Schizosaccharomyces pombe: one gene and its partners. The protein of the gene in region 1 binds, or shares a complex with, the protein of each later gene. Each region holds a gene or a part of one and is shown in the gene's direction. Other genes may lie near its edges.

Region 1 (7,178 bases):
AGGTCTATCGGCTGTTAATGCTGAAACTGCATTTGTAAAAACACACCCCCTTCAGCATGAATGGACATTGTGGTTTTTGAAACCACCTACACAAGGTCTTGAATGGAGTGATCTTCTTAAAGAGATTATTTCCTTCAAGACAGTGGAAGAGTTTTGGGGCATCTTTAAGACGATCTCAAAAGCTTCGATGCTTCCCGCCAAATCGGACTACTCTTACTTTTTGAAAGGTATTCGTCCTGAATGGGAGGATCCTCAAAACATGAATGGTGGGAAATGGGCCTACCAAAGCAAGCACAAAGGTTCAAATCTCGACGAGTTGTGGCTGTATATGGTAAGTCATGGTCTGTTCATTTTAACTGCTGTGATATCGACTTTACAGAATGTTAATTTTTAAGTTGAAAGTATTAACGTATGGAAATAGGTGCTGGCAGCCATTGGAGAAACATTAGACCCTACTGGGAAAGAAGTTACTGGTGTAGTTTGCAATATGAGGAAAGGATTCTATAGAATCGCTGTATGGACACGAAATTGTAATGACAAAGATGTTTTGGAAAAAATCGGGTATGTGAAGTTTTAAGAGTAACGTGTTGGTAGTTGACTGGACTAACAAACATGTAGCCTGCGCTTTAAAGAAGTTTTAGGGATTTCTGATAAAGAGACTATAGAATATAGTGCTCATGAGGATTCATCAAAGGCTGGTAGTATGCGAGCAAAAACCCGTATGAGTCTTTAATGATATCAAGTTTCAAGTTTTTATTTTTACTTTCTAAGGCTTGGTAAATTATAGGGGTGTTCATTTACGAATGACAATATGTTATTGCAATCATTGCCCTCTTGTTTTTGAGACCTCTAAAATACCAAGCTTATTGAGATGAGATAGATGCCTCTTTACAGTTAGTGTATTCGTATGAATAGTTTAATTTGTTATATTTGTTGAGCATTTTAATAGGCTAATGGATATAATCTATATTTGACCCTTCTCTTACGTTATAAATATTAAAATTCTATCAAGAATGTAAATATGCTAGATCGCCAAATCTTCCTATTATTCATAACCGCCTGTATATTAAACATTTATCGCTAGCTTATTTCAAGCTGAATAATGTCTACTATGATTTTACTATTTCCGAGGATCTAATGTAATGTTGGAACTAACCTTTATCGCTAAGGATCCATGAATGTTTGAATCAAACTAAAATTTCGAAATAATAGGCGACCTTCATTTCTTCTTATCATTGTCGAAATCGGATAACATTAATTAAGAAGATAGCCCTTTTAATCGAATTAATGCAGCGCTTAATGAGTACTGGGAAAAGTGGGGAAATTTACTTGCAACTTCTGTATGCTTAGAATTAGATATCTGGTGAAGAAGTATCTACAATCAGACTTTTCAATGTACTGTACGGAATATTGTCGAGTATCAGTGCACCACTTCAATTCCAAATCTATCGCTTCGCTTATACTCAAAGTTTTTTAAACAAATAAAGCTCAGCACTAACTTCATCATTTGGTTAATCAGCAATTAGCAAAGATGAAATGATTGACGAATATTTCGTAACGCTGATACAATCTCCCAACTCCAAACATAATTCGCTTATGTATACCTATTTAATAACCTAGAGCTTAATTGAAAATATACGAATGCATTACCACCTTTTCTAACTAGTCAATTTTTCGAGTATCGTTTTTTAAGCAAAAGAGAGCCAAAGGCTAACATTAACTCAACTCCGTTCTGTGTATCAATTCTCCTTTTCAAATTTCGAAAATAGTCATCTGCGTACAGGGACATCAACGAAACATTCCAACAGTATTTCAAAATTTTTACTTATTTATTTCATAAATATGTACCCTCGCTATTATTAAAACATTTAAATATCTCTGAATAATACAGGTGTTGATGAAACCTGTAGTTTATATGATACACATCTTCATTATTCGTACATAAAATTTGCAGTCGAAAATGAACCAAGAAAGTAACATTATATGATTAAACAAATCGTCTTATATAGTAGTATGTGTTTTTTATCGAATACAGTGTAAATATTCATTGTTATTTGCTGTTTTTTCTTAAAACTCATAAATAGCGTTTTGTTCGTCAATTATTAATTTCTATCACCAAAGTCTTTTAAATGAACCAAATTCCCTATGTTGAATGGAAAAAGTTACTTGTTATCAGCTTTCTGTTTGTTTCCGTTAATGCGCTGTTCAAATTTTTCAAACTCGGCAATTGCAACCTCCTCTTCTGGATCTAAAACTTGTACAACATTTTCCACTTCCGGAATGTAATGCTTCAGCATTTGCTGAATTCCATTTTTTAGTGTCACAGCTGATGACGAACAGGTTCGACATGCACCTCGAAGTTTAAGAGAAACGGTACCTGTCTTCTCATCAAACCCTCTAAATTCCACATCACCACCGTCTTCTTGGATAGATGGACGAATGCTAGTCTCGATCAGTTCTTTAATCATTGCAACAATTTGACTGTCGCTTTCTAATATTTGAGTATCGCTAGCCCCCTTTAGAGGCTCTTCAGAGAGTACTGGGCTTCCATTACTTAAATGCTCCATAATTACACTAAACACTTCTGGCTTCATTTGAGCCCATTCAGTTCCTGCTCCCTTGGAAACAGTAATAAAGTCCTTTCCAAAAAAAATGCTATCAACTCCATCTATATCAAATAGTTTCTGTGCCAATGGAGAATTCACAGTTCCTTGTCCTCTCATGAATTCACAGCTTCCGATAGTTGGAGGCAAGATATCTAGCCCTGGCAGGAACTTCAAAGCGTTTTCGTTCGGTGTCTCCTCCGATCGGATCCATATGCTGCGAATTGCTTGCAATTGGAAACGTGGAGTGAAAACGTTACCAGCTGAAGATACTGGTAAAAAGGTTTTCTTTTGGAATGCTGTCCTTAAAGATTGAAACGGCACAACTCTAGGAAATAACATGCTTGGAATCAAATCGTGCTTTATCCAATAAGAGACAAAATATTAAGACAAGTTCAGAATTTGAAACTTCTTAAGTATACACTTCAAACAGATGGGAAAATTTAAATGTTTATTAACAATTTTTAAATCAGGAAATGCTAATGTAAGCAATTCTTTAAATACATGCAAGAAGGCAATTTGTACATGGGCATACGAAAACCGATGTGATCCTTATACTTTCTTATACAAATTAGCGAAGTTCATTATATTGAAATAAGCCATTGTTCGTGATTCAACAATTTACTTGTCTTTCATCACTAATCTAAATTCTCTCTTACAAGAACAATAGACATTGTTTTCAATTGAACAAATCGGTAGGCTCCTGCCTTCCTCAACAACTTAATTTCTACTAGGTGTTCAAAAACAGATACCTTCCTAGTAAATTTCACACATCATTGCTTCATTAAGAAAGAACTGTTTAAATCGTATGGAAAAGGTAAGCCAACGGTACCATTGTTCATTCACAAAATACTGATGAATTACTGCAGTCTCAACTTGAGTCACGCGTCCATTTGCTTGAACAGCAGAAGGAGCAATTGGAAAGTAGTTTACAAGACGCTTTAGCTAAGCTAAAGTAAGTGTGGTAAAGTGATGCTAGAAATGGTAGAAAATATGAGTTATGCGCCTTTACGCGCGTTCAGGTTCATTTTGGGAAAAGCAATGTATTGCCGTTCCATCAAATCTATTCAAGTCATCATCAAGCTTGTCTCGTTTTATCTAATGTTGACAAATGATTTAGAAATCGAGATGCTAAGCAAACTGTACAAAAACATATCGATCTACTCCATACCTATAATGAAATACGGGATATTGCTTTGGGAATGATTGGCAAAGTGGCAGAGCATGAAAAATGTACAAGTGTCGAATTGTTTGACAGATTTGGAGTTAATGGGTCAGAATAATTATTATCCATTCAGTTATTTAGGAAAAAAGAGAAGTTAAACAAAACAAATAAAAATGTAACGGAAAAAGTGACAGAGACAATCCAAGTTTTCTTTATTAAGCATTACTTTGCTTTCGCTAGAGATCCAACGCCAATTCTTATATATTTATTATGAAAGTTTACGTAAACGATCACAATTGTTAGAACATCTCAAGACTTTAGCTAGTTGATTAGTATTAAGGCTCGTCAGTATGTCCGACGTCTTTTTCAGATGACAATAGCAACTTATGAATGTTATTTGCAGTTTCAGTATTGGCTGTCGATTCTAGTTTTGACAAGTGATGTGACCAAAAATCCTTTTGCTGGTCGATGGGATTAGATAATCGTTCGTAACCTTTTTCTAAGTAGGTAATTCTTTCATCCACCTCTCGTGAGTGTACAGTGGGAGAGGCTTCAACTACTCTTTTAACGGCATGCTGCAGATTACCAAGTTGATCAAGAAGGAAATCGGTAGTTTCTGGTAAAGTAACTTGCCAATTTTCGGGTACTTTGTTGAGAAAAGAAATTCTTTCCAAATGCTTTTCTATTTCTGTTTTTTTTTCTCTTTTCCTGCTGAGACGCATGCGAAGGTCACGACGTAGTTGCATCTTTACTACGAGTTTTTCTGCAGCCTCTTGAATTGCTTGATCCATGGCGGCGTCTTGCTCTGTTGTGATTGAATAGTCTACATCCTTTCCAAACGTACGCATGTAGCCTTTTAGCTCTGGTGGATAACTAAAAATGTTTCGAAGTGTATACACCTCGAAACCATCATAGTAACGATCCACCACACTTTCAAAGAGAACCTCGAACTTGTGTAGTCCTTCTTCTATTTCCTGTGGCGCTTTTTTAGCAAACCGCGTTTGTGAAAAGGCTTTATCCACACCATTTACACCTTTATATAACAGTTGGTTCGTAATGTTGATCACATCATCAATGAAGGAGAGAGGAGTGAATTCTAGTAACTCCACTAACATTTTTTAATTAATTCCTTTACATTGAAAACACTGATTAGCTTCCAAAGAGGAAACTAGTGAGTTATGATTTTTAAACGGCAAGTTGTTCTGCAATGTACCAACCCCATGTTGCATTTTGTCTGGTGTACTCAGATATGATAATAACGAGGTAAAAGGGATTTCCGTATATCCCATCAAAAAGTATGAATAATACATAGATTTGTTGCTGTTTTTATTGCTGTGAGGAACATATAACTCAGGCGATTAACAGTTTAGTCGGTTTATTTTGTTAGTTGCTTAGAAGTGTGGCTTTTGATTTGTGCTTGGTAAATCATTACTAGAGTTTCTATATCCTCAACTAAGCTCTAGTGGAGGAATACACTAATATTAACTATATTCGAATTATACATTAATAGTACGGACTCATCTTAAACCTCAATTTCTATGCTTTCTTTTATTATTCTTCAGTAGCCTTTTTTAGCTATCACGGTGGGATCGTTCTGCTATGCAATTTGATTTAATGAGGGTTAGCACCTTTTCCCAATATCGAATTAGTGAGTTCTGCCACTGTAGGAATATCAGCATAACTAGAAATGCTAACAGCTTAACTTTCATTCATCCATTACTTACATACATCAACAATGTCCAAAATCAAACTGATTTCATCTGACAATGAAGAGTTCGTGGTCGGTATGTAGAACGGAGAATGTTTTGAATTGAGTGAATTGACAAACTGTTTATAGATCAACTGATCGCTGAGAGAAGTATGCTTATAAAAAATATGCTTGAAGGTATGATCTATACAAGCGCTTGTTGAGTGCAATAATTATTATGGACCCTGTTACTAAAATCTCAATTTCAATAGACGTTGGTGAGATTAATGTCCCCATTCCTCTTCCAAACGTATCATCGAACGTTTTGCGAAAGGTACTCGAATGGTGTGAGCATCACAAAAACGATTTGTATTCAGGAACTGAGGAGGAAAGTGACATTAGATTAAAAAAGTCTACCGATATTGATGAATGGGATCGTAAGTTTATGGCCGTAGACCAGGAAATGTTGTTCGAGATAGTTTTGGCAAGCAATTATTTGGATATTAAACCTTTGCTTGATACTGGTTGTAAAACCGTTGCCAACATGATTCGTGGCAAGAGTCCTGAGGACATTCGGAAAACATTTAACATCCCTAATGATTTTACGCCTGAGGAGGAAGAGCAAATCCGTAAAGAAAATGTACGTTCCTTGGTACTTTATTAACTTAATTCTAACCGCTTGCAGGAATGGGCCGAAGACAGATAGTTTGTGGCTTTTTGTGTATAAAGTTTTTTGTCCTTGGATCATTAAGTGTAGTTTTCAGTGTAAAATGGGAATCTTCCCATCCACCTCATCATGCGCCTTTTTTTTTTTATAAAAAAAAAATTGATATAAAGTATACTGATGATTTTTTACTACTGAAGTTTTCACGATGCGTGCGATCACTTGATACTTGACGTACCAACACTGGTCGTATTAAGTCGCAGCAAATCAATTTCATTATCGCATATATACAAATGTACATTGATGAACATATTTTATCCCAACAAAGCACATTTCGTTATCTTTTACTGTTGTTTTAAGTACGTATGTGAATTACGATTTAGAAAGTTGAACTTACTATCCCGAATTGCTTAAAGCTTGCTTTTGTCTTGTTACAAAATAGGGATGTTCATCAATAAGATTATCTTTACTCTTCCATTCAATATGGTGAACGATTGGAGCTAATAGTCCTATGTAGTTTGCATTAGCGGTTTACTATAACAAAAAAAAAAAAAAAGAAGTGTTGTAATATAATAGCGCTAAACAATGAATTGTTAAAAAAATCCGATTCTTTTCTTAAAAATAGTGACAGCAGCTATGTAAAATGCGAATCGTAATAATATCAAGCTTCCAAATTAACAATTAATGATTGCGTGAATTTAGTTTACATTCATATTAATTACAAATTTTGTATAGAACAATAGAATTTTTGAACTCGTTACAATTAGCAAATAAATAAAATTAGATAATTAGTCAACGGTTTTCATCCCTTCAATATAGCTTGATAATATTTGTGAATCCTAACATTTCAATTTTTGGGGAACAGTTTATTTAATTTTTATATTTTTTTCGTGCACAATTAATAATTATATGCCCCTTAGTCTTTTAATGTTTTAATTTAATTTGATTTTTTATTATGAACATTTTAATGTATCATGGTAGATGTCAATATTTTTGATTGTTTTGAGTAAATTCAATTGACATTTTCAAAATTTCATACTGGTTTTTTATACATTACTT
Region 2 (13,268 bases), 2.4 Mb from region 1:
CGGCACCCGAAGAGATGACATTAGCTTGAATAGTTTGGCAAAGACGAATTTGCTTTAAGCGAAAATATAGTAAACAAAGTAAATTGGCAATACAGAATATCGCATCCTTCTTCGAAGGGTTAATGTTTTGTTGACGATCACTCAGTATACTATTGAACGTTCGTAAGACGTTCCTAGATGCATCGCTCACGTATTTCCTCTGTATGAACCCATTACCATCAAAAGAATCTTCTAAAGTAGGTGTAGATGTATCTAGCTGAAGGGAGAGCTTTACATAAAGCTTTGAAACGCGTTTTACAATTGTACACAACCATGCTCCATCGATATGGGAGAAGCAAGTTGTCAAGTTACTAGAAAAACAAAAGTGAGAAATAATAAACAAAAAGTTTTTAATTACCTATACAAGTTTTGTAACAATTCCCATTTTCGTTGATCAGGAGAAGATGCAGCATTTTCAACGTACTCAAAATAGGTAGTTACCAATTCCTTCCAACCTCTTATTCTTCCAAATTCTTTTTGAATGGTTCCGTTTAACTTATTTTTCCCCTTTCTATCCTTTATCACGGTTAGTTAATGTTATAACCTGAAGACAATTACTTGTAGTGCAAGCCTGCGACATACCAAAAAAAGAGTTTTACTGAGCTGTTGAAACGAGGGCTCTGATGGATCTAAAATAATACATTTCTCCAACGTATTGGAGTTTTTCTCTCCAACAGCGTTACTCAAAGTTTGCAGAAAGTCATTTAAGGACATTCCAACCTGTTCCTTCGCAACTTTTAGTACTAAACTTTCAATTATTATGTAACGATAAATAAGTTATAACAAGAAAACTCAACAGATATGTTTTCGCTTACATCGATGTTCTCCAACTCTCACGTTCTGAACCTCATATACGAATAACGAAAGTTAGCAGGTCGTAAACCGGTATACGAGGATTGTTAATAGCACAATAAAGAGACATACTAAGAGTACAGCAGCATTCCTCAAATTAAATGCTACCAGCATCAATCCCCAAAACCGTAGCACTTTATATTGATTTAGTCTTAATCATCTCGGTTTGAAAAGATTCTGTTTCGAGTCTTTGCCAAGAATTAGGGAAATAGTAAAATATGCTTTTACCTAGTATTCCCTCGTGTTCATTTAGCTTTGTTGTTTTCGTTTCCGTTCTTCTCCAAACCTGTTTTAGTTTTCAATTAACTCCCTTAAGTCCGAAAAACTATCCTCCCGGTGCTTCAATTGATACAACTGTCAATACCATTTCACCATTTATTGGAGATGGACGGGGTTCTGACATCTTTAATTATGAATGTACGTGGTTGATAGCTCACATGAAGGTTCATGTGTTTTTTTAAAAACTTTACAATTTTAAATTAGGAAAACACTATAGAAATATGATTTAATGAAGGATATAACATTTTCTCTCGAACTTTTTTGCTTGTTACTAACTTCACTTTAGACTACGATGAGCGTTTCCACTTCTGTCGACCAGAGAATATCGCAAAACAATCTGAGTCACTTGGAAGTGTGCTTTTTGGCGACCGTCTCTACAACTCTCCCATTGAAATAAAAATGCTTGAAAACCAGGATTGTGTTCCCTTGTGTGCCTCGATAATTCCCAGTTCAGATGTCAGTTTTATTAGAGATTTAATCTCCAAAAACTACGTTGTTAACTGGAACATAGATAATCTGCCCGTAGCAACATATTTAGAAGGGACTAACTCAAAGAACTACTCATTATCGCCAGGCTTTCCATTAGGCAAGAATACGGAGAAGGGAGTAATTCTATTCAATCATTATGATATAGTTATAGAATATCATACGACATCTAGTGACCAACACCGTGTTGTGGGTGCTTATGTAAAACCTGTCTCAAAGGAGTCTACTTTAGTTGATGGAAACCCAGTTTGTTCTTCGTCTTCAAATCCACAGTATTTACCGGAAGGAGCTGATCTTACTCTCGTGACCTCTTACTCAGTCTCTTGGAAATATTCCGATACTCCATGGGCTACCCGATGGGACAAATATATGCACATTGAATCTAGGCAAATTCGATGGATCTTTATTATCCATTCCGCAATTATTGACACATTTCTAATTTTTGTGGTTTCTATTATTTTGTACAGAACGCTAAATCGTGACATTAATAAATATAATAGCGCCTTTGTCGATCAAGAAGATGTTCAAGAAGATTTTGGTTGGAAGCTAGTTCATGGTGATGTATTTCGTCCACCTCGTAGACCCATGCTATTTTCTATCCTTTTAGGGACTGGTGCACAACTTCTTTTTATGAGCTCTGGTATCGTTTTATTTGCAATTTTTGGCATTGTTGCACCCTCTCGTCGTGGAAGTTTAGCTACAGCAACGGTGGCCTTATTCATTATATCAGGTTTCGTTTCTGGTTATGTATCTGCATTATCCTACAAACTGATGCAAGGTATGCTTAGAAAGCGAAATCTTCTGTTAACTCCTTTTGTCGTACCTGGTTTTATGCTTGCGGCAGCTCTTTTCTTTAACATGGTATTTTGGAGTAAAAGTTCATCATCAACTGTACCCTTTTCAAGCTGGCTTCTACTCATTTTCCTGTATCTATTGTTTACTGTACCATTAAGCTTTGTCGGTTCTTTAATCGGCTTTCGTTCTCGAGAGTTCGTCCCACCTGTTAGGACAAACCAAATCCCTCGTCAAATTCCATCTCATAGTATTTGGCTTTCGAGTTTTCCTAGTGCGATTATCGGTGGATCTATACCATTCCTCGTAATCCTTATTGAATTGTTTTCTATCCTTGACAGTTTATGGTTTCACCCATTGTATTTCATGTTCGGTTTCTCGTTCTTTTGCTTCGGTATTTTAGTAACCACTTGTATCATGGTTTCCATTATCACTGTTTATTTCCAATTGTGTTCCGAAAACTACAACTGGTGGTGGCGCTCTTTCATAACACCTGGATTTTGTGGAATCTATGTATTTATATTTTCAGTATTTTACTGGTTTTTTAAAATCTCATCATCTTCCCTTGCTACTGCCGTTCTTTATTTCGGCTATAGTTTACTGATTTCTGTTTTGGTATTTTTCTTATGTGGATCGGTTGGTTTCTTTGGCGCCTTTCTCTTTGTTAACAAAATTTATGCGTCCATTAAAATTGATTGATTATTCGAGGCATTTGTACATACCTCTTTATTTATTGTTCAATTTGAGCTTTCTCCGTTACAAACCTTATTAATCAACAAAATGACTTGGAGAACACTCTCTTTTATATTCAAATAATTTCATAGGAATATGCCGTTTTTTTTCGGTCATCCAATATATAACTACAGTTTGTTTTACTTTGTGTAATAAAACCTTAGGTACTATATCATAGAAGAAATTTGAAAATTGTAATCTTAACCAAAATGTTTACTTAGAGTAAATTAAATTTATGTTTTCTACGTTAAAAGCTTTATTATATGTTACATAAATAATACAAAAAAGGAATATTACTCTAACTATATTTACGAAGCTCGCCCAAACCTTTTTCAACTACCAGTATTTCGCCTTCAGCTCAACCCTACTTTAAAAATTGTCTTTATATTACTTTTTCTCAGTTTACCAAATATTTAGAACGTAATTATTAAAATATCGGAAGTATGCCTTCTTCTGCTAGTGAACAACTTCTTCGAAAACAACTAAAGGTAAGCGCACGAAATCTTCATATCCAAATATTCATGATTGTACATAGTATCTTAATTCTTGAACACATACTGATAGATATAGGAAATTCAAAAAAATCCTCCACAGGGTTTTAGCGTTGGTTTAGTCGATGATAAATCCATTTTTGAATGGGAAGTTATGATCATTGGACCAGAAGATACATTATATGAAGGTGGTTTTTTCCATGCAACATTATCGTTTCCTCAAGTATGTATTTATGTTTCACAGAAAAATAATATTTGTTGTATAAGGTAAACAAGCTGGTCACTAACCTCGAAAAATTAGGATTATCCTCTGATGCCTCCAAAGATGAAGGTATAGTAAATACATTGATTTTTTAATTGATAGAAACTACATAGTCTATGCCTAAAAACGATTCTAACGGTAACAGTTCACAACGGAAATTTGGCACCCTAATGTTCATCCGAATGGCGAAGTTTGCATATCGATTCTTCACCCACCAGGAGATGACAAGTATGGATACGAGGATGCTGGAGAACGTTGGCTTCCGGTACACTCTCCGGAAACCATATTGATTAGTGTAATTTCCATGCTTTCTTCCCCTAATGATGAGTCCCCTGCCAATATAGATGCTGCCAAGGAATTTCGAGAAAATCGTGAGTATATACTAACCTACAAACAAAAAAATTTACTCTTTAATAATCAAATCGTACTAACTTTTTCCAGCACAAGAATTTAAGAAAAGAGTTCGTCGACTTGTTCGCAGGTCAATTGAAATGATTTGAAGATAATGTTCAACCTAGGTCCCTAATTTCCTATATTTAGAAAAAAGGCTATGAAGGAAATTCAAGTCGCTGCATAGAAAACCTCCTAAGTCAACTAGCAGTAAAGCTTACTCAAAAAGTCTGTAGCTTTACAAGTTGAATTGCATATTTTATGCCATCTTTGAAGTATTGCCGTTGCCCATTTTTTGAATAAGTTTAGCAAACTGTTCATTTATTATCACATATAATGAAATATTGGCAGAACGGTTGACATTTTAAAACTAACAGCTTTTGATTCTTTTCTGTTTTTATTATAAAGCTTTCAAGTTTTTCAAGTGTTACAACCGCAAGTGATTTATCCTACTTCTTTACCAATTACAGCCATAATTTAGATAAACAACAAATAAAAATCTACATTTCACGATTGAATTTTTTTCTTTGAACAAACGTCAGCTAATACTTCGTGAATTGATAGTTTTCCATTGAAAATTTTCTATTCAAGTAATTATTTTCGCTTATACGCTCATACTTTATCAGCGACGGTTTCAATTCCGCGTTTTGCACAACATACATTGAATGCAGCGATAAATCTCAGTCTATTATATTTTACACTAACTAGCTCAATGTCTCCTACGTATCCGAATGACTGATTCAATGATTAATCAAACCAATTAAAGAATCTAGCGAAACTTCGTTGAGTTTGAAAATTAAATACTCAGAGTAACCATTTAAGATGAATATTAAAATTGCATTAAGAACCGTGAAAGCATTGCCTTTTCATTTAGCGTTTTTTTATTGCATTATGCTTAAACTTTTCAGAATGACAATTAATATTACGCTATTCCGCAGTATGGTGGTGTTCACACTGGTTCAAATGCGTATATGGAACGTAGACAGCTATTAGGTCAAATCAGATATTAATAGCTTTTATCATTGTCATTTCTCCCTTAACTATTTGCAAGTCGAAAAAAATCCAATTTTAGCTCATGCACAGCGTTCTGCAGTAAACATGCCTCTGGCATTCACAAATCCCGGTACACCTCTAAAACGTACAGCTGCCTACGACAATGTACAATGGAACCAAAATCGAATATTAGTAAGTGAATGGACGCAAACGATATGCGTTTGTCTGCTAGTGGTTAAACTGCAGAACGAAAGCAGCATGTCAAAGTATTGTTTCCAATTGAAGTAATTGTTTAACTAAATGGTAGACATTTGGAACTCGCTATACCGTATTAATTATTGTAAATAACTACGAATCTTATCAAAATATACAATTTGGAGAGTCTATTGGTGCAGTGGCTTTGGACCAACGTACGGGGTTTCTAGCAATAGCACATGGACAAGTTTTGGATATTTATAAGCCCGCCGATTCTTTGAAATGGACTCATCATTACAATTATATAACTCAGCTTTCTGAAGATATTACTCAACTATCTTGGGGATACAATTTTGATCTGTTGCTTTGTGCTTCGTCATACACTAAACTTATAAATTTCTCTGAAGACAAACCCAGGTTGGTTTGGTCGCAGAACAGAATCTCGGATTCATTCCTTAGTAGCACTATTTCTTCCGATGCTTGTTTTATAGCTTCTATCGAAACAAAAAATCCACTTGCTAAAGTTTGGCAGCGAACATCTCCTCAAGGTACAGTTAGCTCATGTGATGATTTCAGCTATCTTGTTCATCCTTGTCGCGTAAGGTTTTCCCAATGGTCTAAACACCTTCATCCGGACGCCAGTGGATCGACTCCCTTCCTGAGTACGGTAGGCTATGATAACGTTCTAAGAATTTGGCAAGTTGGTAGCCGATTTGGTTCTCAATTAATGCATCTTTCTTGTTTTCTTAACTTGAGAAAATACTACAAATCTGATCAACCACCATACTGCTGTTTTATTGATAAGGACGATTTTACTATAGCATTAGCACATGCTATAAGTCGCCATTCTGGTCAAGTGCATAAGGATCGCATTTTAAATAGGCTTCTGGCTTTGGCCAGTGGACAACCACATATATTTTTGCTATTTACTTTTGAATGTTTGTACATATTTTCTCTAGTAATTGACCAGGAAACTTTGTCATCTTTTGAGCTTATTAATCAAGTTCCAACGAACTTTCCCAAAGGCGCTCTTCAACCTGACGGATTTATACCTATTTACAGGACCTCAAAACACGAATTTTACGATTATAACATCATTTTATTTTTTCAAAATTCCGCCCGTGAATACATGTTTAGTCTTACCGATTTCTTTTATAGTGACTTTGAGTTAAGAGTTAGTTACGATTTTTATGGACATGATTATCCCATAAAAAGCTTAACAAGAACCTCTAATGGTCATGGAATTGTATCCCGAGATGTTAATCGTATCTGTATGTTTCAATCATACATATCGCAAGACGGGAAAAATCAGTTAATTTGCAGGTTCAGATTATTACTTGGAGAATCTGACTTTATATTACCTCTTTATGCTGGTGAATATGCAGCAGTACTCAACTTAAATTCTTTAAAATTATGGCATTGCAATGAAGCAATTCCTCCAACCCTTCTCTGTACATGTCGTCAAGTCCCTACTAGTCCGATAATAACCTTCTTTATTCTTCCTGTTCAAAACAACGATAATTCCGCCCTATGTGCTTTGACGGAAGGAGGCCATGCCTGGTTTTGGAGTGTCTCTAACGAAGCTCATGATGGTTCTGCTGTACTTCGGTTTATAGATCGGGTAAATTTTACAAAGAATTTAAATATCGCATCGGCTGTAGATGTCATGGGTTGGTCTTCTACTTTAAATTTGAGCAGTTTATCTTCATTTGATCAAGAGGTATTTCAATCAATATCAAAAGACGGTTTATTACAGACTTGGATGGCAAGAGTATTGGGAGACGATAAAGCGGAAATATCGGAAATTTCCAAAGTGCAAACTAGCATCAAATCTGCAACTATGATCAAAGGCTCAACATCCAAGAAAGTTGCTGTTGTATCTGAGAACAATCGTCGACTTTCAATTTTCGACACGCGTAGTTCAGAATTCTCTGAAAAGGAAGAATTTTCCTCTGTTTTTGATGATTATGGACCAATAAATGACTTGGATTGGACTTCTACTCCCAATTCCCATTCTATCTTGGCTGTTGGCTTTCTACATGATGTTATTCTTTTGTGCCAAAATCGCCGATCTTATATGAACGATATTCCATGTTGGTCTCGTATTCGTAGATACAATCTTTTAGAATATACAAATTCATTAATATCTGACTCTTCTTGGTTGGATAATGGGACTTTAGTTACTGCCATTGGTAACGGACTTTTTTATTTTGATAATTCACTTCCCGAAGATCAGTCTTTACTGTTCCCTGCATCATTGAAACGTTCCGCAAAAAATATTTTTGATCTTGCATACCAGCTTAATGGAATTTTACCAGTTTTTCATCCTCAATTGTTGCAGCAGCTTTTACTTAGAAACCAACCCTTTCTATTTACTAATATTTTGCTAAGGTTTTACTTGTGTTTGAAAGATGATGTAGATATGCATTTTCTCTTAAATATGGACTGCAGTGAGTTTTACTGCTGTGACGAAGAAATTTCTAAAGACCTTTTAATAAAAAGTCTCAGCCAAAATTCTGCGGAAATTCTAAATCCTGCGGAATTGGATTTTGAAGAGACCAGTGTCTCAAAGCATTTAGGATTATACATTGATGAAATGATAAAGAAGTTGACTGCATTATTAAAAGTAAAGAAAGTCAAAACCCTCACTCGATCATCTCAGTTTTTACTTCTTAATTTAATCGAGGCATTCAATAAGGCAAGAGCATTGCGAGATTCATTGGACCTCAACGGAAAAAGATATTGCATTATGCTAAACCAGTACGTTTTATCAAAACATCAACGTCAATTAACAAGCTTGCCCACCCGAGAGATGGCGTGGGCTTTTCATAGCTCTAACAAAGCTGTTCTGTTGGACCACACTAAAAAGCTTCATGGAAAACCATTGTTATGGAATGCTGTTGAAGAATATGCGATACCGTTTTGGCTAAATGAGCAGCTACTGAAAGATGTATTTTTAGAGCTGTCTCGCAATCATTACGCTGAGATTGACGATAGGAACCCAGAGAATGTTAGTTTATATCACATTGCTCTACACAAAATAAATGTATTTCGTGATCTTTGGCGTCTTGCTAGTTGGCATAAGGAATCAGCTCGAACGGTTAAGTTGCTTTCGAATGACTTTTCAAAAAAGAAGTGGAAAGTGGTTGCATCCAAGAATGCTTTTGCACTTTTAAGCAAGCACAGATATTTTTATGCTTCTGCATTTTTTCTTTTGGCAGATAGTTGCTATGATGCCGCAAAAGTATGTATCCGTAATTTAAAAAGCATTTCATTAGCCATCGCAATGACTCGAGTCTATGAAGGCGACGATGGTCCGACCTTAAAGAGGCTAATAAACGAGTATGTACTTCCTTTGGCTGTATCTCAAAACGATAGATGGCTCACCAATTGGAGTTTCACTATTTTAAAACAGGAAAAAAAGGCCTTGCAAAGTTTGGTATCTCCCATTCGCTCGCTGGTCAGCGATAATGACTTTATACAACTTTATACATCCGATAAAAACGACCAAGAAATTCACGAAAATAAAGATTCACAACGAAATAGTACTAACGAACCCGTACGAAATAAGTTTCCGTCTGATGATCCTGCCTTCATTTTGTTATATGAATGTTTAAGATCCAGCAACGTGCAAATTGATGAAAGTCTTGAATATCGATTTGTTTTGCATAATGCTAATGTGTATTGCCAATTAGGATGTGACCTAATAGCACTTGGGCTTTTGCGTAATTGGAAATTCCAAAAAAATCCTGCAACTGCTCATCTTGAAACTGAGGATTATATGGTAACTGACAAGCAGTCTGCAGTGGAAAAAACTCACGACTCCCCCAAACTTGGAAAAACTCTTATGGGACAAGATATCCGGCCAACACCGGACGATGTCCCCGAATTTAATGAATCTGCGTTCAGCTTCGAGTAATTAATTAATTATCGATACGAGTTTTTAAAAATACTACAAAAAATCAAATACGGTCAACCCTTAGTTTATCGTGTTTCAATAATGATATTAAAAATTAATTTACTATTAAATAGCATATAAGAATACAGATGAAGTTCCTCAGCGTTTCATTTACACAATTGCGCAGGACGTAAAGAGAGAATTAAAAATTTCTATACATTTCGAAAATAAAAACGTCCGCGGTATAACTCGAAAAAAGAAAACAAAAATATAAATAGATAGTGCAGCTCACGGAAACAAAAAATTAGACTTGCATATCGTTTGTTACATTCCACAACACTCAAGGTTAAATTTTGTTTCGAAAGGCAAAGTAAATGAGGGAAGGATTACAATGGGATAGACGACCAAAAGATTCCAAATCACACCATCAGATGGCAACCACAATTTGGTAAAGTTGCTTATGAGCGTTCACCGCGAAGACGACGAGCCAATTGCATATCCTTGGGTTGAATAGTTACACGCTTTCCGTGAATAGCACACAAGTTAGTGTCTTCAAATAGAGAGACAAGATAGGCCTCAACAGCTTCTTGGAGAGCACCAATGGCAGAAGACTGGAAACGCAAGTCAGTCTTGAAATCTTGGGCGATTTCACGGACCAAGCGTTGGAAAGGTAGCTTACGAATCAAAAGTTCAGTAGACTTTTGATAACGACGAATTTCACGAAGAGCGACTGTACCGGGACGATAACGATGAGGCTTCTTAACACCACCAGTAGCGGGAGCAGCCTTACGGGCAGCCTTAGAGGCAAGTTGCTTACGAGGAGCCTTACCACCAGTTGATTTACGTGCAGTTTGCTTAGTACGAGCCATTATTTTCTAGTGTTCTGATAATTGCCCTGTGTAGATAAAAACAAATTATAGGGAGATTACGCTGTATAAATATGTCCCTACATCCAACTTTGATCACAACCCTAACCCTTTAATTAAATTGACGTAAGTTAATAGGGACGGCGCATTAATATATATTGTGAAATGCCGCATACCCTACTAGCAATAGAAGCACTGTTTATAGTAGTAACTCTATTTCGTTAATATTAATAGTGCAATATGTCTGGCCGTGGTAAAGGTGGAAAAGGTTTAGGAAAGGGTGGTGCCAAGCGTCACCGTAAGATCCTTCGTGACAATATTCAAGGTATTACTAAGCCTGCCATTCGTCGTCTTGCTCGTCGTGGTGGTGTTAAGCGTATTTCCGCTTTAGTTTACGAAGAGACTCGTGCTGTCCTCAAGCTCTTCTTGGAAAATGTTATTCGTGATGCTGTCACCTATACTGAGCATGCCAAGCGTAAGACTGTTACATCTTTGGATGTTGTCTACTCTTTGAAGCGTCAAGGCCGTACCATTTATGGTTTCGGTGGTTAAATTCGATATCAATTGCCGACTCCGAATTTTTTGTTTCGAGTCTATCAATTTTATGTGTACACTATAACTATTCTATATATACATGCCAAACGAGAATGTTTTTCATCTGGGCGATATCAGAAGAAGCATTATCAATTTGCTAGTGCAATTCATAGACAAAAAGGCGTTTGGTCTTTGTGAGAAATTTTTCATATCGCGTTGTATCACGGCTGAATACTCCATCTGACAAGAAGATGAATTTTTCTTCGTGGATTTGTGATTAATACATTTATTGAATGAAATGATTAATATAATGTTCATTAAACCCGAATCGTATCGTGATATTTATAAGTAGTACAAATATAGTAAACGCGCAAGTTTTTCTTTAGGTAATTGTTTGTGCGACCTTAAGCAAATTAACCTAGTTGATGCGTTACACTGTTCTTCGTGTCATCTTTCTGGGTATGGGGAAAGTGTGTCTAGTGAATGGGGTTAAAGAAGGTTATCTAAGCGACTAGTTGATAGCAAACAGTTGCATAGCCAGGAAGATTGTGAATTGTACGGTACATCGTAGTTGTGAGGTAATACGCAACTTTCTAATTGAGAGATATCAAATTGAATCAGCTCGATCGCATACTTAGATACTTATTAAGTGTTGTAATTTCGTCAAATAAAACTTTTAACAATGTAAAAAAGTACGTACTTTCTTCCGCTCCTTGCTTAATACCACAATAAATGAATTTACCTAATCTGTATCTAACAACCACATAGTCAACGGGACTAACAAATTCCAGTAAAGTGTTAAGGATAAAAAGCTTTCAGCAATGAGAGCGTACGACTCTTTCTCTAATCTGACATGTTTTCTTTTGTGTTTATAAAGCATTCGTTTTGTATTGACAAATTTTTCAATTACCTTGGGTAGGTGAATTATTTTTGGGCATATGACATCAGAACGCGTTGAACAATTAAGTTCACTTTGACAAAAATACAGATTTTTTATCACTACACGTCGTTTACTTTATATTTTACTTCATCTTATTACAAGGTTACTCTGTAATTGTAACGTTTGACGAAGCCCATAATCCAATCCTCTTTTTCGTTGCAGAGGAAAATAAGGAAGAGTAAGTACGTAAAGCCTACGAAAAGAAAGAGAAATATAAAAAAGTATACGTTTGTCAGTGCAATATTGAATGGTAAGTTTATTAATTGTTCCACTCATCGACTAAATAATAAAGTAGAAAGACGAGACATTTATGTGTATGCTAGAACACACTGGAATCCATTTGTTCACGAGTTGTTCTCGTAATAACATAATGATTGGTATTGCCGTGTGTGAATGCCAGTGATTATTGATGTTTGAAAGACTACAACTGATAAAAAGATAGTTGCACTAGTGATAAAAGTCTGTTGAAATTGGTATGCTCTAAAAGTCATTTGTACTTGAGTAAGCAGTCATATGCGTGTTGGCTATCCATCTGTTTGACTTGTTTGAAAATAATACACATGGGTTATGCTTTTCACAAGAAAGTAGAATAATTGATTCCTACATCTGCATCATCCATATCGATCGGTAAAGTATACTTTATCCTACGAATTGGTTTCATAGTTAAATCACTCCTCTGCTTAGCAGCTCCGCATCCCCTTCGTGTACTAGCCAATCTCATCGACATCGACAAATTGACTTCACCTGAGTTAAGCATACTTAATTCAACTTAACGAAGTGCAACCCACCACGACTGACCTCTGTAATCTCGGAAAACGGATAAGACGGTTCAGTACGTTCGCTAGTAAGAAGCATGCATGCAAAGGTACAAGAGCAGGCTTCCCATGCAAACTGAGAAAATAATCCCTGAAGAATTGCTAGTAAGCCAAATTGCAGCGCCTCCAAACATCCTTCTATTAAGGACCAGAAAGAATGATGCTGATGACTAATTTTTGGGTTATGCAAGAAGCATCTGGCATTTTCTTTAACTTCTCCACGAATAAGGAGAAGGTCACACGACGGAAGCGTGGAATAATGATGAGTTTGATCGTCGGTAAACTCCCCCAGAGTAGCGAAGATCATCGGCATCGAAAGAAAGAAGGGAAGGAAAAAAAAAAGTAAAAACGACTTGATGAATTCCGTGATCATGTAGGGTAACGGAAGACGAGATTACCGAGTTTAAGTAAGCAATCGAGGTCTGCATTGCGATGCCGATATGGTGATCGGGAACATGAAGCACTTGATTGACTTGAACATGTAGGGAGGAAATTTTTTTAGCGTTTTTAGACTTTTCATTTAGCTGCTATCTTAGGAGTAGCGTGACACGGCGCAAACGAAAAACAAGACATTTGTTGTACCAAACATCCTCAATTCCATCGCATCTCTAAAGTACGAGTAACTAGAGTAAGATGCAAATCAACGTCGTGATATGACCTAAAAGTATCGTGGACTTGATTCATCCTTCAATCTCATCTTTCCC
Region 3 (10,477 bases), 720 kb from region 1:
TTTCCAATGAAGCATTGATCATACCAAAATTGTAAATTAAGGAAAAAGAAAAATAAGAGTATCAAAAATAAAGAAGTAGGGTATATAAAAGACGGCTCCTACTACAGAAAAAAAGACCACGCGCACAAGTAAAATATTGCTTTATAAAAACCAAGCCACAGTAGCTCAGAGTTCTTGACAGCGCCTTGCGATTGAAAAATTCTTGGAAATTCTAAATTAATTTTTGTTTTCCAATAGCTTTTTTTGTTGTTGCTCATCAATACCCAAGAGGTAAAGAGCGTTTTGCAAAGATGGAAGATTGATTTTCGAATCAGCCTAATTAAAAAAAAAAATCGAGTTAGTAAGATCATTAAAAACATAAATTTGTAAAAAAATTTCGAACATACCAATAATTGAACTTTGGGTTTAGCTTTGAACGCAATTCCTAAACCGGATTCGGCCATCATGACCAAATCGTTAGCTCCGTCCCCAACAGCCATCGTTTCGAGCTTATTTAAACCCAACTCTTCCCTCTTTTCACGCAAAATGGAAGCTTTTCGTTGTCCATCTACAATTGCACCTTGAACTTTTCCAGTGAGGAATTTACCATCATCGGAAAATTCAAGTACATTGGCATATGCATAGTCCAAGTCCAGTTGTCCCTTGACATATTCAGCCATTGGAACAAATCCACCACTAGCGACAACAAGAGTCGCACCCATTTGCTTAAGGCAATGACAAAGCTGTTTAGCTCCTGGAGTGAAAGTAATTTTGCCAATGACTTTATTTATGACATCGACGCTCAACCCTTGTAGTAGAGAAACGCGACGACGAAGTGATTCTTGAAAGTCAATTTCCCCATTCATTGCAAGAGATGTAATCGTAGCAACCTCTTTCTGGATGCCTGCTTCTGCCGCGAGCTCGTCAATACACTCTTGTTGAATCAACGTCGAGTCCATGTCAAATACTACAAGCTTCTTTTTAGTGGAAAATGTTGCTTCACTCAAGCAATTACAGTCTACATTCTCAGTAGCAGAAATGCGGTTACAAGCGTCTTTAGCATCTTCAAACGTTCCTTTAAGTTGGCCTGATACTAAAGTCCACTGTTCCCCCAGAGAACGAGTCTTCCCATCTCTAAACAAGGAGGAAATCTGTTCAAGCACATTTGGACGATTTGAGGAAACAACTATGGCTGCGTTGACCATGCTTATTAAAAGGTATGAGTGGGTTTGCTAAATTTTCTAAGTTGAAAAGCGTTGTTTTCGGCAAGTCCCATTTACTAATTACTCGGCTATTGATTAAGCTTAACGTTAAACGACAACAAGTACTAGGTCAATTTAAGTTATTTGAAAATCTCAAACAAGCTTATTTTTTGTTATTGTTTACAAATTTATCATTATCTTCAAAATGCTGTATAAATTGTGAAGTTGGTAAAGTGGTGCCTAAACTCCGTTTTCAAACACAGGTTAATAAGCAAATATTTTTTTTATACATTAAAGCAATAAAGCAAGAAATCATAACTAAGAAGATGTTTGGAAATATTGCAATATATCAGGGCAAATATTCCAAAAATGAGAGCCTACCATAAAGTAGAGAGTGAGATATTTGTAAAGTGAAAAAGCACTAAAAAAATATTTGGCAATGTAATAATTGTTCTCTTTCATTCCTAAAAGGTTATACACAATTTAATGTGCTTTACTTAGAGAATCGCTCAAGTACCTCTTCTGATACACCTTTAACGGGAAAAGTGCTGTATTGAATAGCAGAAGGTGCCTTTCGAGGTTCTTTACTCCTATCTCCTCGAGGATAATACTTGTAGCTATAATCAAGACTCTCATCACTTTTTCCGCTACTGCTTTTGGTGTCTTCCCAGGGGTGAGCATTTTTTGAAGGAATTCGGACTTGATCTTCATGTTGTACCAACAAGCCCCGCTGTCCTAAAAAACTGTTAGCTACAATCATTTAATTTAAACAATCATATGTAAATGCGCTTGTAAAATAAATATTCTGTAGGAAAATTTTAACAGAATATTAAAATTGAGTATAATGTTTCATTAACTGCGCTGATTTCTAATTTTCTACTAATTTTTAACATACCAAGCATATAACCAGCAACTCCAAAGGTATAAGTCATGACACACCAAGTTATCTAACAGCAAACTGATCAGCTTACGAAATAATCAACTCAATATATTTTTCAAAAAAAAATTGAGCTTACAAATAGTTCTGGATATTCTCTTGACCAGCGAACCAGGCGGTTCGACATAATTGAGCGCATAATTGACATGATGGTTCCAAAAATAAAAAGTTCTTGTTCGCTTGAATAGTTTGATTAATTGTTTCGAGATGGAAAGGATCTAAAATCCTTTTATGATTGTAAATGTCAAAATGAAATACGTAGGCGAACATTCGCAACATTTATGACAAGCATCAATATTTATGGGGATCGCCACCTGACGCAGACAAGACGTAGCAACGGTGCGCATTAAGAGATTCAAATTTGAATGGATAATAATATCATAATAATCACCAACTCCTTCTACTAAAGTGGTGAAAGAAGCAACTTTCCAATATTTCTAGATTTTCCAGCGTTTGCAATCGGGATCGAACCGCCCTTGTATTTATATTGCTTTATACAGTTTTATAATACTTTTCAGATACTACCTCTACCCTTGTATTATACTATAGAATTTGTTAGGACACTTATTTACTAAACTTTTCCTAAGATTATATTTGTAAATAATAAGAAGAGAACACTAAAAAACTTCGCAAACAAATAAAAATGGTTCGTACCATTATAAATAAATATAGTCATTTTTCAAAATTTAGCTGCCATGAGGTTAGTAACTTAATAGTAGTTGCTGACCGCAAATGTTTCTCCAGTAAAGTAGGTCCAATGTACAAGTACGTTTAAAAGCGTCATTGAGATTTTCTAAGGAATAAGAATTTAATTCATTTCCCTTTAAAACAGGAAATAAAACCAAAGGACCGCTTGGAGTCATGCATATTGAGGAATAACAATCTAATTCGATAATCTTGTGAACTACATTTCCACTAAATACAGTGAATGAAGCCAGGATGGTTTTTCTTAGATGTAGATTAGTAATAATTTTTCTTCAAAATTTCATCCATAACTGACCATATACCGTGTTTCTTGAGTTATTTGTTTACAAGCCATAGAGGTTATTGGGTTATTTCGGGGCTAGTGAAAGTATAGAGATGATCCTTTAAATTAGCCCTTTCATTAATAGCTTCGCGATAATCATAATTTCAATAGTTGCAACACTCTAATAAACTTTTAAGATCTTTTTTCGTTGCTTCCGTACCTTCATTTCTAATATTTTCTCAATTACACCCTCCCATTATTTTCCTGCTAGTTATTTAGCCATTTTAAAAAAAAAAAAAAAAAAAAAAAACATAATACACAAGATGAAAATGGTTTACTAGCTAGTCTACTTCCCATGATATTGGTCTTTTATCTTAGTCTTTGGAGTCTTTATCGAGTCATATATTACTAATTTTTCCATATATTATCCACTTTCTTTACAAACCCGAAATTGCACGGATAGTATAATTTATTAAACTTGATTTTTCTAACTTTGAGCCCTGAATTGTTGTACTGACAGGATGTTCCAATTACAGTATCGATGAAATATATTTAAATAAAAAGTTTGAAAAATATAAATACTAATATATTGGCACTCTTAAATAATTTTTTTTACATTTTATTCGTAAAAAAAAAATAAGTACTTTATTTATTATTATTAATTTTATTTCTTCGGTTAGTATTTTTTTTTTTAGCATTTCATTTCATATTCTGTTTTTATTTCCCTTCTCTTTTTAATACACTCTCATCGATTAAATAGGCGCCATTCCAAATATTAGTTATTAGAGTCACATTCTCTAATTGTTTATTTATTTTGATTTCTTTATTTGCTTAGTAAACAAACTTTGGCGGATGCTAATATTTACTTCACCCTCCATCGCAAAAGGGGTTCATATCCTTACCGACAACAAAACTACAAGATATAATACCAGGTGTAAAAATAGCTGTTTCTTTGCCATGTTTGTTGTTTAGAGAATATAATCATGAGCTATGAGAAACACAGTGATGCTAAGGCATCCCGCTACGCGTGGAATCAGCCATGGAATCCATTTGAGGTGACTTTGTCTGATCCAACGTATCCCATGAATTTGGAAGAAAAGAACCAAATTCCTTATAGATTTCAATCCGTTCCTGATGATGTTCCGGAAGTACCGCATATTGAAAGCCGATATAAGAATTTACCAGGAAACAATATCTATTTATGTTGTGGTCGATTGCAAATGTCATCTCAGTACAAAGCTTTCCTCATTAGCTTGTTTGCCTTGATTCTTCCAGGAGTCCTTTTCTTCATCTTTTCTGCTTTTTGGCTCTGGCATCATGTCTCTCCCGCTGTCCCTATTACCTTTGCTTACCTGTATGCCTTAGCCGTTGTTTCCATGTTCAAGTGCTCGACTGCTGATCCAGGAATTCTTCCTAGAAATGCATATTCTTTAACTTATAACCCTGCCCATCCCTGGTCTGTAATTCCTGAAGACCGTAAAGTCCTTGTTGGATCCACTCGGTCTGACTCTGTCTTTGTTAATACAGTTTATTGCCATACGTGCCACTTATATCGTCCTCCACGTGCAAGCCATTGTCATTTATGTGATAATTGTGTTGAATACCTTGATCATCACTGCATTTGGTTAAACACTTGCATTGGTCGTCGAAACTACAGATATTATTTTATTTTTTTGTTATCTGTCGTTCTTTCAGCTTTGTATCTAACTGGATTGGGGTTCTATACTTCTATAGGAAGTTTTCATGAATCCACAGATACAAATTTTGCGGCGCATCTTCGTCGTCCATGGGCTGGCGTATCTTTCTTCCTTGGCATTTATGGGGCACTTGGAGCAATACTTCCTGGCATCCTTTTCTGTTACCAGTGCTATTTAATATCTGTTGGTCAGAATGTTCATGAATACTTACGAGCAAAGAGTACAGAAACTGAAGATGTACATCCTTTTCATGACAGCATATGGCTCAATTTTCTGGTTGTCCTTTGTCGTCCTAAAAATGTGAGTTACGTTCGTCCCACTAGGAAGTCTTACGTGTAATATGCCTTGGCTTCACAAAGAAAATAAGAAATAAAAATTTTTTATTTGCTAGACAATAATGCTCAAATCGCTCACGCATATATGCTACACTCTTTCATCTTCCCCTTACCAATTTACTTTTCAGTACCGAAATTAATTTGGTTTTAATAACCGGAATAAAAAAGATTACTCCCCTCTTCAAAATTTTTACCTGGATAATGTTTTGTTCTTTTTTTTCATCCTTGTCGTCGACCCCTTCAGCTCGCCCTTTGTACTTTACAGAGAACAATGTACAGAAACAAATGTTTATAAAACTATTCCTTGTTCTCACCAATCTCTGGAATTATTAATATTTAATTTGGCTGCTCTCTTTTATTTTTAAAGTAATGCTGCTTGTTTTTATGACTTATATGATAGATAGATGGTTTTACCTCCTTTAGCTAAACCCCTTTCCAGTCTAATTTATTGGGATTTGCTCTTTATTGTTCTTTTTTATTATTATGATTGCCTTTTAGGCAAATCAATGTTCCATAGGTAGATAGTTTTTCTTTTTTTAATGAAATAGCTTATCCACATTTAGAGGATAGTTTTCTGGAAAATAATTTGGTATTAGACTTCTTTAATTTGATACTTGAAACTTCTATAATATTAGAACTAGCTTTGCATTACTGACCGGCTTGTTCATTCTTACTCTGGTTCATGTTGCTCCGTTCCCAGGCTTGTGTTTTCCATTCACCCTCTACAACCATTCGGAAAGCTGGTTACTGTAGTTAGGCTATAAAACTAATGACAAACGGCTCTTAAACCTAATGTCTTCTTTACACGAGCATTTACGCCCCATTCCTGAGCCTTTTTCTTTAACTTTGCTACTGGGAACAAGAGAAACACCTGTCACATTTCTGTTCCATTATTATTTATACCATGCGTTGAAAGCAAAGGAAAGTACTTGTTTTTTAACATTCAGTAAAACCTTAGATGAGCATGCAATTAGTATGCGTAAATGGGTATGTAAAAAGAGGGATTACGATTGCATAAGTGGTTGAATGATAAACTATTCGTATGACTAACCTACTGAACCAATATTAGGGAATGGATATTAAAACGAAAAAAAATTTCTTCTTTATCGATGGCTTCAGCATGCTATTTGCTCCTATTTCCAAGCCTTCGAAGGTACAAGCACCAGAAACCAAAAATCACATCAAATCTGTTTTCGCGCCTGTGATCCAATGTGTGGAGGAAAACGATTTTGAATTTGAAAACTCCACGATCATCATAGAAGATATTGATATTTTACAAAGTACTCATGCTCTCGATTCCACAAAGATTCAGCAGGCAATTTTGGAATTACGAAAATGTTTCAGTAGAGTCATTGTAAACGTGACTTTGGGAGCTCCGTTACCACAACAAAAGTCTTTAGGCTCTTCAATCGGACACATGGCAACTAGATGTATTTCCTGTCGGCCTTTGACTAGCGGTAGCGCTCGACGAATCACCGGATTCCTGCGTCTTTCTCGAATGCCAAATCACTTTCGTAGTGGAATATGCGAGACCCCGGAGGATGATGACAAGGAGCTTTTATACGAGGTAACGGAAGCAGGTGCTAAGGTATATTCCAAAGGGCAGGTGACGCTGCAACTCTAAATTCCTACTTCATCTACTTTTTCTCAATTATCTGCTGCTGCAGTCTCTTCGTCTCCCTTCTTTTCCACTTGTACATTATCTTGCACCCACCGTTTTACTAAAAATGTTCGTTGAGGCCTGGATTCATCTCCTTCTTCATTATCCTCATCATCTTCATTAGAATATGTATCTACAACAACAGGAACCCATTCTCTGCTCCAATGCACTGCTGTTTTTTCATTTTGTTGAGGTTCCACACTTTCTGAAGTCCTATTCATTGTATATTTGTAGAGTTGCGAGTATCACAAGGTGCGCGCGAATTGGTATAGGTGTAGGTTTACAAGGAAGAACAAGACGCTCTCTGCACAGTGTGCATTGATTTGTGAATTTGGAATTAACGAACTAGGTTTGGTTATTTTTTTATTTAAAATAGTGCTTTTTTAATTTAAAAAAAATTGATCGAGCCAGTTTGGTATTCATTGAAGGTTGTAGGGTAAATCGTTGTCATACAAATTTTTTATCGCATTTTTTGGAATAACTACTGGGTTGGGTAATATTTTGAAACATCTTTCATACATATAGAAGACCGTGCTACGAAATTGTTAGGAGATATGAGTGGTATATCAAAATTAAGTGATTTTTGGGTTGAAAAATATAAAAAGGAGTCGAAAAAGTCTTGGGATAAGTTTTACAAGCGAAATGAAACAAGGTTTTTCAAAGATAGACACTGGCTTGATCGTGAATTCGATTGTTATTTTGGATTGCCCGATAAGTTGCCATTGACTATCCTTGAAGTCGGATGCGGTGTTGGAAACCTCGTCTATCCTCTGCTAGAAGTGCAACCAAATTTGAAGATATACTGCTGTGATTTTAGTCCTCGTGCTATAGATTTTGTGAAGGTAAGGAGAGCTACTAAATTTATGCCAATTTGCTCTGAAATATTTAATTTACTAACCTTTGTCTTAATTTAGAAGCATTCCTGTTATAACGAAAATAGAGTTTTTCCTTTTGTTAATGATATAACCGAAGATTCTTTGCTTGAAGTTTTGGGTTCTGCTTGCATTGATACATTAACTGCCATCTTTGTATTATCTGCCATTCCACGCGAGAAGCAGCTTCGTTCTATTAAGAACTTGGCTTCAGTCATAAAGCCAGGAGGGCATTTGGTGTTTCGTGATTACTGTGATGGCGATTTTGCTCAAGAGAAATTCATGACAAGCGGTGACCCATCTATGATTGATGAACAGACGTTCGTTAGACAGGATGGAACTTTATCACTTTTTTTTCGAGAAGAAGATATTGCTGAATGGATGAAAAGCGCCGGGTTTGGCTTAGTAACATTAGATCGAGTTAATCGCACCGTTGACAACCGAAAGCGTAACTTAAATATGAAGCGTACGTTTTTACAAGGAGTTTGGAAAAAGCTGTGAATACTTTGGTAGAAAAAGTTTCTTTGTTTGCGTATTTTTTATTCTTTTATATAGGGCTTTTAATGTAATCCGTTTTAGACATGAGTCCTGAGTTTTATTGTAAGGTTTATGACAGTAACTTTAGTTTTTTGATAATTTAATTAATAAAAATAGAAAATCTTTGTTTTCTTAAACTACACTCGCATATGCTATTTAATTGTTATCAACGAGTGACTAGTATAACTTTACTTACTACCCACCTTCAGCGTTAGCTGCTTTTAAATATTTTTGTTTCAACTTTTTTGGAATGATATAACACCATATCTACTTTATAAATCCCGTTTGTAAACTATTTTATTATGCAAACGGAAATTGATGCTTCTGTTATCGTTAAAGAAAAAGAGTGGTTGGAGACTAATGTGCTACCGGAATTTTGGGAATCTATGTCGGAAGGGTTAAAGGAAGCATTGAATTTAATTTCTTCCGATGATCCAACTGTCCTAGTTTTCACGTCTCCGAAAACCGACGCCGTCAAAGGGATTGTTTCAAGAAGCAGCAGTAACGTAGTTCGTGTCAATGTCACAGCGAAGGTTGGTCGTACTACGCATGTTTTAAAGCTGAAAGATTCTGCTATTATTCATTTGGACCAAATACTCAACTTGAGTAATTATATGCATTACGCTTTATATTGCTTGCCCCGATTGCGACATAATACAGAACGTGCCATAAAGGAATTGCAGGAAATTTTGCATGCGATTGTATGTCTACTTCATTCCATCATGCAAGAGGAATCTGAAAAAGAGGAGATCCCATCCAATGCCAGCAGTATATCGCTAAAAAGTCAAAATTCCATTGTCTCCAGAACAAGCAACCCTTTTAGTTGCCTTAACCATTCTCCTCGTCAAATACACAAGACCGTTCGTAATCATTTATTTTCACCTCCTCTTCCTTCTAATTTAGCTCTGAGCTTCAGCATTTCAAATGCTTCAGTCTGCCTGCATTTATTTAGGCTTTCAGGTCCCAATGAAGTTTTAGAGTCTTTTGCAAAAAATTCCGTAGATATAGAAATGCTTAAACCTTTTGTTTCTCAAAGAATAGATGCTTTTTCTCAGGATCCAATTCTTCTGGCAGTAACGGCAAAACTTTCAGCGTTACAAAAAAAGGTTAACGACGTTTCATATAGGTTTAAAACCATTTCTTCTTCTTTATATGGTGCCAAATAAATTGAATTTTTCAGTGGCAGTACTGATTTGCTCTCTGTTCAATTGCCTAAGCAGTTATAAATGGTTTGATATTGGGAATCTCCCTGGTTTTATGTTTTGAAACTATGTTCAGTTTTTCGCTTGATTGCATGATTAACTTTGTATTCTATGAATTTCATCTACATATTTGGCTTTTTCTCTTGGATCTCATTCGTTTAACCTTACTGCATTCTACTTACTTCATATCCGCATGCCACATACGAATCAATATGTCAAGTTTATTGAAGTTAACATCCATTTCTTTGAGATTTATCTTTGTGTATATATTATCCATTACTTACGATATATGTGTTTTCTGTCCTAATTTTCCGACCTATATATGATGCATTTAAAAGAAACAACTGTACATGAACTATAGTAGTGGAGAGCGAGAAAAGCTATTCCCATTATTGTAGCTTATAGCTTTGCTTTTCATCAACGGAGAAGTTATTAACAACTTCTTTTAAGCCTATCTGATTAAATATTCGATTGAAGATTTTCTTTCTCTTTGCTTCAATTTGCAATTCATTTTGTCCATGTAGTTTAGGAATAAAATAATGACACTTCTAATTTATGCATGATACACTATAAGCATGAATTTACCAAGAATCGTGAAAGTATTTCACAATGTATTATAAAACGAGAGAATTACTATCTTAAAATGGGTGAAACCGAAAAGTAGGTTACTATGCTGCATTAATCGTTAATTTAAAGTGCTTTTATGTACATTAACTTCTTATGCTTTTCAAGCAATTATAATATTACTATACGAAGATATAATATTATTTGTATTGTATTAAAGCGACAGAAGATGCACAAGATTTCCATAAGAGAATAATTCTAGTATGAATTATATTCTCACACACGCCTTGGTGGCTTGAACGTTGTGTCTTTCAATATCACTCCACCTTTAAACATTTGATTTTTGTGGTATATTTTGATCGCAACGGTTAAAAAGGACAATTTCGCTCTCGACATTCAATTTCCTTCTACTACCGTCTTTCGACATCCGCCCATTTGATACGTTTCAACTTTCACCCTGAATGGTATGTCTGCCGTAATTACATTGACTCCATTAAATGAATCATTTCAAACGAAGAAATTGGT

The links.
Region 2: skp1 (region 1) and rav1 share a complex: the UniProt entries of both Schizosaccharomyces pombe proteins name them as parts of the RAVE complex.
Region 3: skp1 (region 1) and rav2 share a complex: the UniProt entries of both Schizosaccharomyces pombe proteins name them as parts of the RAVE complex.

Annotation. Positions count from the first base shown.
Region 1 is NC_003423.3:1,134,645-1,141,822, forward strand, and holds skp1 (SCF ubiquitin ligase complex subunit Skp1), read left to right. Parts: upstream 1-5,483; 5' UTR 5,484-5,503; coding exon 5,504-5,552; intron 5,553-5,605; coding exon 5,606-5,653; intron 5,654-5,727; coding exon 5,728-6,095; intron 6,096-6,140; coding exon 6,141-6,161; 3' UTR 6,162-6,596; downstream 6,597-7,178. Other genes in the region: tif452 (translation initiation factor eIF4E, 4F complex E subunit isoform 2, stress response factor), read left to right, coding at 1-331, 422-561, 619-733; NifU-like protein nfu1, read right to left, coding at 2,163-2,945; protein Swi5, read left to right, coding at 3,412-3,420, 3,473-3,558, 3,724-3,886; MIS12/MIND complex Mis12, read right to left, coding at 4,104-4,883. UniProt on the Schizosaccharomyces pombe protein: Required for cig2 degradation in the G2 and M phases of the cell cycle. Together with pof6, essential for septum processing and cell separation.
Region 2 is NC_003423.3:3,519,252-3,532,519, forward strand, and holds rav1 (RAVE complex subunit Rav1), read left to right. Parts: upstream 1-5,284; 5' UTR 5,285-5,421; coding exon 5,422-5,508; exon of another isoform or gene 5,509-5,623; coding exon 5,624-9,430; 3' UTR 9,431-9,594; downstream 9,595-13,268. Other genes in the region: TREX/TREX2 complex subunit Pci2, read right to left, coding at 1-350, 398-555, 622-753; EMP70 family endosomal transport protein Emp70, read left to right, coding at 1,110-1,308, 1,457-3,147; ubiquitin-conjugating enzyme Ubc15, read left to right, coding at 3,624-3,668, 3,751-3,894, 3,973-4,002, 4,079-4,304, 4,375-4,433; hht3 (histone H3 h3.3), read right to left, coding at 9,868-10,278; hhf3 (histone H4 h4.3), read left to right, coding at 10,516-10,827; SPOM_SPBC1105.13C (uncharacterized protein), read right to left, coding at 12,509-12,937. UniProt on the Schizosaccharomyces pombe protein: Component of the RAVE complex which is required for stable assembly of the vacuolar ATPase complex V-ATPase.
Region 3 is NC_003423.3:1,861,041-1,871,517, reverse strand, and holds rav2 (RAVE complex subunit Rav2), read left to right. Parts: upstream 1-8,370; 5' UTR 8,371-8,488; coding exon 8,489-9,352; 3' UTR 9,353-9,977; downstream 9,978-10,477. Other genes in the region: phosphoserine phosphatase Ser2, read right to left, coding at 217-315, 387-1,184; SPOM_SPBC3H7.08C (uncharacterized protein), read right to left, coding at 1,675-1,916, 2,077-2,128, 2,198-2,266; palmitoyltransferase Erf2, read left to right, coding at 4,069-5,121; elongator complex subunit Elp6, read left to right, coding at 5,910-6,104, 6,187-6,741; protein tam8, read right to left, coding at 6,765-6,998; trm141 (actin binding methyltransferase), read left to right, coding at 7,332-7,619, 7,692-8,150; csc1 (FHA domain-containing protein), read left to right, coding at 10,419-10,477. UniProt on the Schizosaccharomyces pombe protein: Component of the RAVE complex which is required for stable assembly of the vacuolar ATPase complex V-ATPase.